Linked DNA regions of Oryzias latipes. The protein of the gene in region 1 purifies or fractionates together with the protein of each later gene. This does not show direct contact. Links are inferred from orthologs where the notes say so. Each region holds a gene or a part of one and is shown on either strand. Other genes may lie near its edges. The genes, in order: mvp and cop1.

What was found.
Region 2: the proteins of mvp (region 1) and cop1 purify together in Homo sapiens (affinity purification with mass spectrometry; 3 studies listed by BioGRID and IntAct, with this or other methods). This does not show direct contact. The link is inferred for Oryzias latipes from reciprocal best matches to the Homo sapiens genes MVP and COP1.

The regions. Positions count from the first base shown.
Region 1 is NC_019866.2:563,986-568,359, reverse strand, and holds the start of mvp (major vault protein), read right to left. Parts: upstream 2,812-4,374; coding exon 2,623-2,811; intron 1,387-2,622; coding exon 1,223-1,386; intron 1,149-1,222; coding exon 953-1,148; intron 885-952; coding exon 761-884; intron 264-760; coding exon 132-263; intron 1-131. UniProt on the Homo sapiens protein: Required for normal vault structure. Vaults are multi-subunit structures that may act as scaffolds for proteins involved in signal transduction. Vaults may also play a role in nucleo-cytoplasmic transport.
Region 2 is NC_019875.2:19,758,452-19,763,002, reverse strand, and holds the start of cop1 (E3 ubiquitin-protein ligase RFWD2), read left to right. Parts: upstream 1-1,571; 5' UTR 1,572-1,925; coding exon 1,926-2,257; intron 2,258-2,376; coding exon 2,377-2,436; intron 2,437-2,725; coding exon 2,726-2,823; intron 2,824-4,237; coding exon 4,238-4,302; intron 4,303-4,406; coding exon 4,407-4,526; intron 4,527-4,551. UniProt on the Homo sapiens protein: E3 ubiquitin-protein ligase that mediates ubiquitination and subsequent proteasomal degradation of target proteins.

The DNA.
Region 1 (4,374 bases):
CAATGGGGGGTTGGATGGGAAAGGGGATTTAGCATGGACCGGTATGGACCGGTAATGTTCTTCATTCCTGCTCCTCAAAACCTCTCGGTTCTGATCTGCTCAGTGTCTGGGTTTTGGTGGGGGGGTGTTACCTGTGACTCTTTGGACGCCGCCCCGGTCTTTGCCCTCTTTGCGGGCTCTCAGTCGGATGGCCTGGTTCTCCCGGATCACGGTGGCCTTGATGGTCTCCAGAACCACCACCTCCTTCCTGGGAATGTAGGTCCCTGAAGCCAACAGAGGAACCGGGAACACGTCAAACGGCGTTCCCGCACAGCCGGACGTTTCCCTCCGCTGCACCTCCACCCAAACCAACCTCTGAAGACTTTGGCGGCCCTTTGGCGCCGGAGTTTCAGCGCCGCTGTTGACCTTCTTTCAACAATTAACGGGAATCCGCAGATTGTGAGGCTAAAGCGGCGTCACGCCGTTACTTTACCGCAGTAATGTGTGACATAACAATAAGACGAGCCGCTTTCTCCACGACACAAAGGCTCACAGACCGTCATGTCAGAGAGCGTGTTTTAGGCGTGGCCGGCGGCAGCTCTGGTGTTAAAGGGTTCAATACAGAGTAGATGTGGGCGGGGTCACAACTCTTCCTTTGACTCCTCAAACTACAGGAGCAAAACCAGCAAAAGTCCTTTTGATACAGAAACCGGACTGTAGAATCCTGGAGCGGTGAAACCTCAGGAATCAAACCCACGCTGCGCACACAGACCAGACGTACCGGGACCCTCAAACAGCCACTCGTCTCCAGCGACCCGTTTCAGTCCCTCGTCGTCCTCAAAGTCCAGCAGAGCCTGCAGACGCAGCGCCGTGTCCGGGTAGACGATCTGCAGCGGCGTCACGGCCTGAAAGCAGAGGGCGGAGGTGAAAGCGGGTCCGGGTCGGTTCTGCTGTTCAGGGGGGGGTTGCTCACCTGCTTGACCTCCTCCCCCGGGTACAGCGGGAAGGGGTCTTGGGTGAGCCGGATCTCCAGGTCCGCGTGCCGTAGCTTGGCCTGTCCGGACTGGTCGAAGAGGACCTGGTTGTCGTCGTCGCGGGCCACGGGGTTGGACACCACGCAGAAGTGGCGGGGCGGAACCATGATCATCCGGACCGGCAGGAAGAGAACTCTGAGCAGAACCACAGCAGACGCTCATGTAACCGTCACACCCACCCAGACGGCCAGCAGGGGGCGCTTACTGACTTCTCATTGTCTTGGCGGATGTAGGTGAGAGGTCCGATCTCCACGCGGGCGATGTTGGTGTTCTGGTCCAGGACGTGGATGTAGTGGTGGGGGGGGATCCGGATGATGGACGGTTCCGTCTGCTTCTCCATCCTGGTTGGTTGGTTGACTTCAGGTGAGAAACGCTGCGGAGAAAAACACCTTACAGCCACTGGAGCAGGTACGGACCAACGTGCCCCACCCCGAAAGAAGAATTTACCCCCCCACCACCACCACCAGTCTCCTGAACCGCAGGCGGCTTTTGAACCTTTGGTCAGCTGCAGGTAAAGGTGAGGCTCTCAGGTGAACGTTCCTGAAAGACTAAATTAACCTGTGGGGGTGGGGAGTCTCAGAGGAACCGCCTACATCCAGGAGGACAGAACTGACCGACCGTATGGAAATGGTCCTTCCTGTTCAAACACACCTGTCTGACACACCTGAGCTGAGCTTTAACCTCAGGAGCAGTTCTCAGAAAGCCAAACCCCAGAACCAGAACTCTGCTTCAGAACCAGCTCTTATGACCAGAACCTTCCGCTGGATCCCGGATCAGGATCAGTCTGGACTTTGGATTCAAACACGGAAACTTTATATAAAATGCAAAAATCCATAGAATTCGCCCCTGTGACGGAGGAGGGGCCAGATCCCAGGAAGGGTCACGTGACCCAATTCTTCGAAAACAGGGTGCAGAAACAGAGCGCGTGCAGACCAGGCGCGTGCGGACCGAGCGCGTGCGGACTGAAATAGTCGTTTCTGCTTTAAGGAGTTTCAGGTAAAGGTTGAACTTCTCCTTCAGTCTTTCCGCTAATGTGGATGAAGGCTGAGGCTCCGCCCCCTATGGTCAGTTCTGATGACCCAGTCAGAAACTGGACCCAAAGTTTGGTTCTGCTCCTCTTTAGTCCGTCTGCGTTCACTGAAGTGAACCGAACCGAGTTCATCTGCAGGAGAACAGAGGCATTTATTCTCCAGAGAACCAGAGTTCCGATTGGTCCAAATGGTTCGGGTGAACGTTCACACCTGCAGAACCAGGTGGACCATCAGCGGAAACAGTCCTGGACCGGATCGGACCTGGACCAGACCGGGCCGAAGCTGCAAGAACTTTTCTCGGACCTTCAAGTGAACTTAGAAGAACTTTTAAGTGGTCCGGTTCTTCCTGCAGGTTCTGCAGAACCGTCAGGATTAAGAGTCAAGATTACAGAGATAGCTGCGGCGCGTGCACGCGCAGCATTTCCTCAAACACCGTGAGCAGGAACTTCCGGTCCTGAACAGACGTGGGAGTAAAGAACGCTGCGCAGCAACGAAGCGGTTTCAGTTCGAACGGAACCGGACCCGCGAACCAAGCAGAACTTTTCCCTAAAAGCTGCGGCTTCGCTGCGACCGCTCACCTGGCTCGGTTCGCGGTTCTGCGGCTGCTGCTGGTTCCGAGGGTCCGCTGTCCGGTCCGGATCGTCGGAGACTGACAGCTGAACAAGCGCAGAGTTTGTCTGGAGCAGTGGGCGTGGCTGCTGCGCAAGAGGAGCAGCTGTGACGTCATTTACAGACAAGCTACCCTGAGTCATCGTGCGCATGCGCATTTACTAAAGTGTATCATCCATGTTTGGATGGAAACTTCAGTTGTTTGGAAAGAAAAAGTTAAAGTTTTCAGGCAAATTTATAACAGAATCTAAACAAAATCAGTCAGTTCAGAAAAAGAAAACATGTTTGACTGAAATGATCATCTTCTCTTCTGGGGTTTGTCCTCCACGTCTTGGGATCCGTCCTGAAGGTGGATCAGGGTGGATCCGGTCCGAGTTTTATTCCTTCGAACCATCGAAGGAATAAAACGTAGGACGCTGCCGTCCTCTGAGCTCCTCACGGATCCCAGGAAATCGGGTCAATTCTGTTCTAAACAGGCGCCGGATCCTCCAGAACCAGGACAGTTCCTGTAAGACAGACCTGCTCAGTTCTGGTCCTCCAGATCTCCAAGCCCCGCTGATGAGCTCGGTCGGATGTCTCCGGGTTCTGATTGAAGGAACACACCTGGTCCAGGTAATCGTGCAGGGAGAGCTGGAAACAGAACCAGGAAGGAGCAGCCCTGCTGACCCACAAAGTTCTCCTCTCAGAGCAGACGGAACGCGCTGGTTCTACTCCACGTCGCAGGAAAACTGGTTCTTCTCAGAGGAACCGCACCAGAACCACGTCACGGCGGGTCTGTCGGCTCTACAGAACAGTTCCAGTAAAGTCGAGGAGAAGCTGGTCTGTTGCATCCAGAACCTCATCCGGTCAGGAAGTTCTGCCTGCATTTGGATCCGGAAACCCGTCAGAGTTTCTGCAGGAAAAGGATCCCAGGTTCTGGATGAACAGGCTGGTTCTTCTGGAGATCGGAGCTTCTTCCTTTACAGTTCCTGAAACAGGAGGCTGCTTCAGAAATAAACGTTCCTTAAAACGTTCTCCTCCTGAAACATCCAGAACATTTCTGCTCCAAAGACGCTGGAAGTATTTTCCTCACTTTAGTTGGTCTTCATCTGACTGATCTAGCAGCTTTTTGTAGCATTCCCATGAATCCTGCTGTTTTTGAAAGCTCTAAAATGAACTTTAGCAGCTTCTCCAGGTTTGTCATCTTTAGATGATTTAGCTTTAAAGAACAGACCTTAATGATCCTTTTTGGAGGATTTTATGTCATCGTTATGGAGTTTATCTTTGAGGCCTGCAGGGTGAAACATCCCAGAAAAGCAACATCAGATTCTAATTCTTTATTTAAATGAGCTTTAATTCATTAAATACATAAAGGAAATCCTCAATAGTTTGGAGGCTTGAACTTCTGATTAGGAATCTCTGTGCGCCCTCTGCTGGACAGCTGTGGAAACAACACTCCTGTGTCCGCCCTTCTCTTGAAAGAAAGACCACCTTTAACATGTAAATGTATATTCAGCTTAAGGTTAACTTGCATTTCTTACATTAAAGAAAACAAAAGAAGAACAGCTGTTCACTGCTTCCTCTTTCAAAAAAAAAGCAGCAGGAAGTGTTGTTTGATCTCAGATTTACAGTTCAGTCAAACTCTTTCTTCCTCCAGTCCGTTAAGAAACGTGATGCGTTCAGGTCTGCTGGGAATTCCTGTTAGGACCAGTTCTCGTCTGCAAGCATCTCAGTCAGCTGTT
Region 2 (4,551 bases), on another chromosome or scaffold:
CAAAGGACCTCCACAGATTATCCTTCATCTGAGTTTGTCCGTCTTGACCTCAACAACCCTGAGGCCCGCTCTCGGCCTGCCCCCCTGTTTTTCCCTCTCCTTTCATACGCATCACCCCCCTCCCTGTTTCCCCTCTTACCTCTCTGTTCCCCTGTAACATCCAGCTGTACCCCGTTGACACAGCCACACACATTCACCCAGAACACGCACAATCCTCGTTCAAAAAAAATTGGGGGGACCCAAAAGGAGAAAATCTAGGCTGATGTGCAGCACAAACGAGGTGGGGGGAAGAAAAAGAAGAAAAAAAAGGGAGAAAGAAAGAGGGCAAGCCTTTCAGAAAAAACAGTATTAGATACAAAGGGGAGAAGGAGCTGTGCTGGGGGGGATGCAAACACAATATATGCTGCAGGTGTTTTGCCCAACGAGTGAAGAACTTAAGGTGCACACACTTTTGGTTTCTCTCACCTCATAAGTAACTCCCGGATTTCATGGGCAGCCCGTCTTTAATGATCTGTTTTTTGCCTCCGATCTGCACTTTCAAAAGCATTTATTAGAGGCCCAGAAAACATATTTTTTATCGCTGGTTCTTTTCAGTGTAATTCATGTATTTATTTAACGAATTGGTAACTTTCCTCTAGCTGAAAACCTTATTTCATGGTCTAACTGAGCCACTTATGGATACATGTAGACCTCTTCCACAAACAAAAACATGGGAAAATCTGTGCCTGAGCAGAGGACCCCCCCCCCCCCCCCCCTTATTTGTTCACATGGAGGTAAAGATGGAAAAGCAAGGAGCAGGCTGGATAAACTTTGAGTGGGAATATGTTAGTGCTGCTTGGGTTTTATTTGCAGAGCTGCAGGTGGATGGTTGACAGACACAACCCTGTATGTCTTGGCTCTGTCACCAGTAGCACCTTTTTTTAAAGTGACCTACCTGCTTGTTTCTGTGCAGGTAATTCAATAAAGGATACCCTGGATCTGTAAGAGATGAATGAAAAATGTAATCCAAACAAAAAACACCCGCTTTCAAAGAAAACAAACATGATTTAATTACATTAAGGTCCCTTTAAATCAGATTTTTGAACAACAGTCAAAGCAAAATACATAGGCAGTATTTACCTGGAATTTGTAGTAGTACACTGATATTTAAAGAGTTTCCTTTAATAAATAAGAATAGGTACCACTTCATTTTTAAGCCCAATGTAAAAATGCTTAAATCAGTTCGGAGTGATTTTTTTTATCATTTTTCCCCCTTTTCATTAGTTTTATATTTTTAACTGAATGTGTTGATTAGTAAATGGGTTCCCACCAATGTATCATTCTTTTAATGAAAATAATCATCTATATTATTAGAAATTGTCATTTATTCCCACTAATAAAAGCACAAATTAATAGTCTGATAATTGGTATTTTTATTTATTATTATTTTTATTGTTTTTGACTCTTGGTTAACACAATATTATTATTAATAATATGTGCGTTTTAAGGTTTTTAACAGATGTAATATATGTCTATGAACCGCCCCTCCGCTAGGGGGCAGTGAAGGTGCGAAACACCAGAGCACAATACGCATCTGGGTGGTAGAAGAAGCCCAGCGGATCACTCTCTGCTGCTAACAGTCGCCAACCGGCTAATCTCCTGGACAACGCAGTTTGAAGTTATTTTAATCCCAGTTTTCTTTATTGCCTCTTTTTTTTCACACCTTATAATCAAGCGACTTTATAAAACGTTGCCGGTGATAAGTGCTAGGTACCCACCGACGGACAAGTTTAATCACACTATATGTTTTTGACGCTGTTCCTTCCACCGAGGATGCTAGCGCATGATAAGCAAGCCAGCTAGCTTGCAAATCTGAAGGAGCGAATAAGCAGCGCTCTGGATGCTTTGAAGTGCAGCGAGTTTTTGGATGAGTTTTTTGTTGCATCATGTCAAGCAGTCGGACGCAACAACAAGGCGGCGGTGGTGGCGCGAGTTCAGTACCCAGCACCAGCAATAGCAGCAGCGGCAATGCGAGCAACGCCGTAACAAGCAATGGGAACAATTCTGGAAATGTTGTGCCCTCCCGGACTCTGCCCGCAGCCGGAGAGGGGGGCTCGTCTGTGCCCTCTCTGGCCACTGTACCGTCGTCCCGGGGCGGCTTTGCTTCCCTCAACAGACCCTCTGCGTCCTCAGGCAACAGAAGGAAATCCCTTCACCAGGCACCCTTATACAACGGCCTCTTGAATTCTTATGAAGATAAAAGCAACGATTTTGTCTGGTTAGTTTTTTTCCAGGAATTATTTCAAACTGTGCTTTAAGATTCCCACTCCAAACGGTGGATTTTGAAATGTTGATGTCCAAATGTTTTACATGGTTTTTCTGTCAAAACAATTTCAGTCCCATTTGCTTCGAAATGATAGAGGAGGCGCACATGACCAAGTGTGGACACAGTTTCTGGTAAGGGTTCATTGTACATGAATGGACAGTTTGTCAGTCAGTGTGTTGAACTTGCTGATCAAGATAGCTGTGTAAAAAGGAAATATTTTCAAAATGTTAAACATTCTAGTTTTATGTTTTGGAAGACAAAAAAATTAATCAACTCCCCCTCACATATTTACAGCACTACAAATTTAAATTTGTCAGCTGCAACCAAAATACTACTTTGATAGTTTTATTGCTTGAAGTTTGTTGCACAGTTGGGGAATGTTTTCAAGTATTCCTCTTTTGCTTTTTACCCCTCTTGCAGTTACAAGTGTATCCGCCAGAGCTTGGAAGACAGCAACAGATGTCCCAAGTGTAACTATATTGTTGATAATGTGGATCAGCTGTTCCCAAACTTTTTAGGTGGGTATTGTGAGTTGGTGTTGCGCTTCACCACCTGTTGAAGTCTGTTTGAAGACTTGTTTTTCGAAACTTTTTTGTGTTGAGTTTGCATGTTCTCCCCGTGCACGTGTGGGTTTTCTCCGGCTTCCTCCCACAGTCCATAAACATGCGTCATAGGTTTTAGGCTACATTGGTTACTCTCTTAATTGTCCATTGGTGTGCATGTGTGTTGGGCTGATTGTATGGCAAACTTGGCCCAACAGTAGCCAGGACATGCTCCAGCCACCCCGTGACCCCGAAAGGGATACAGTGGGTTAAAAAAAAGGATGGGTGGATTAATGGATCTCTCAATTATTGGTGGTTATTAGGAATGCGTTGATTCACTTAACCAATGATTGGGCTCAAACTGCAATTTTGGATCACAGTTTTGTTTCGGTTCAATGTATAATTTGTGTATTACAAACTGACAACAAAAAACTAATAATACTAAAAAAAGCTGTCTTTTTAATTTGCTAAAAAAAATTATCAAACTCAAACTAACTCCAGGCTAATCTAAGAAAACATTACATTCAAAATTCTTCTTAAATTTATCACATAAATAAACTGGTATACAGTAGGGATACAATGATTCTCTCTCCCCATGATTATGCAAAAGTCCCACTTCAATCATCTTTTGATGCCGTGTAAAATCGTCTTTTAATTACGATTATGCCGTTTTAGCCACACAAAAAACTGTCGTTTTCTAGGACATAGTTTCTGCAGAACTGCAGTAGTTCATCAGAAATCTGCCTCCTAGTTGTGGGCGGGACCGTTGGCCTGGTGTAAGCTGCAACACTTCCCTTCAGGCTTTTCTTTACAAATTCTCCCGCTAGCTCACAGCAGTAAGCTAGCGTACAGTTTTGAGCCAGATGCCAGCTCAGAAGAGGCAAAGACACATCTGTACATGGATTTAGTCATTTACCAGTTCGTTCATCAGAAAGGAGCAGAGTAAGGAGCTTTGGGCCCATCGATTGAAGATTTTGACATTATAACTACAAGCTTTTTCAAATGGGAACGTTTTTTTCTGCTCCTAAATCTCAACGATTTAAAGAATAAAGACATATTGGGAAATGCTTCATTTTTAGTTAGGAATATCCTCCATTCATGAGGAAAATGAACACCAAAAGCATGATTTTCACTGGAGTGGGACTTTAAATTTAAGCCCAACTTTGAACTTTAACATACTGGTTTACAGTAGAGATGCAACGATTCTCGTTCCTTTGGTTTAATGGTGTAACATAGTTTTTGATCGAGAATTGTGACATCCCTGGTTGTTATCTAATTAGATCAAATGATGTCCGATTCATAGGTGAAGTTCACAGTGTTCACTTTGAACATCCTTGACACACTTTGCTGTGTTTGCTGTGTTCTTACCTATCCCAACCCTTTACTCTAGTAAACGAGCTGATCCTTAAACACAAGCAAAGATCAGAGGAGAAGAGGCTAAAATTAGACCATCCTGTAAGTACATTTCATAAATGCCTTTATTTCTGTTTTTGTTTTTCTGGTATTTTCCAACCTGCCAGTGACTTCTCTGTGTTTCTGCGTTGTCGTCCACATGGTAGAACGGTTCTCGGTGGCAGGTCTTCCAGGATGTTTTGAGTCCTGATCAGGAAAACCTGGATCTGGCAAATGTCAATCTGATGTTGGAGCTTTTGGTTCAGAAGAAAAAGCAGCTGGAAGCTGTAAGTGTTTCTGTTTCTGTGGTTT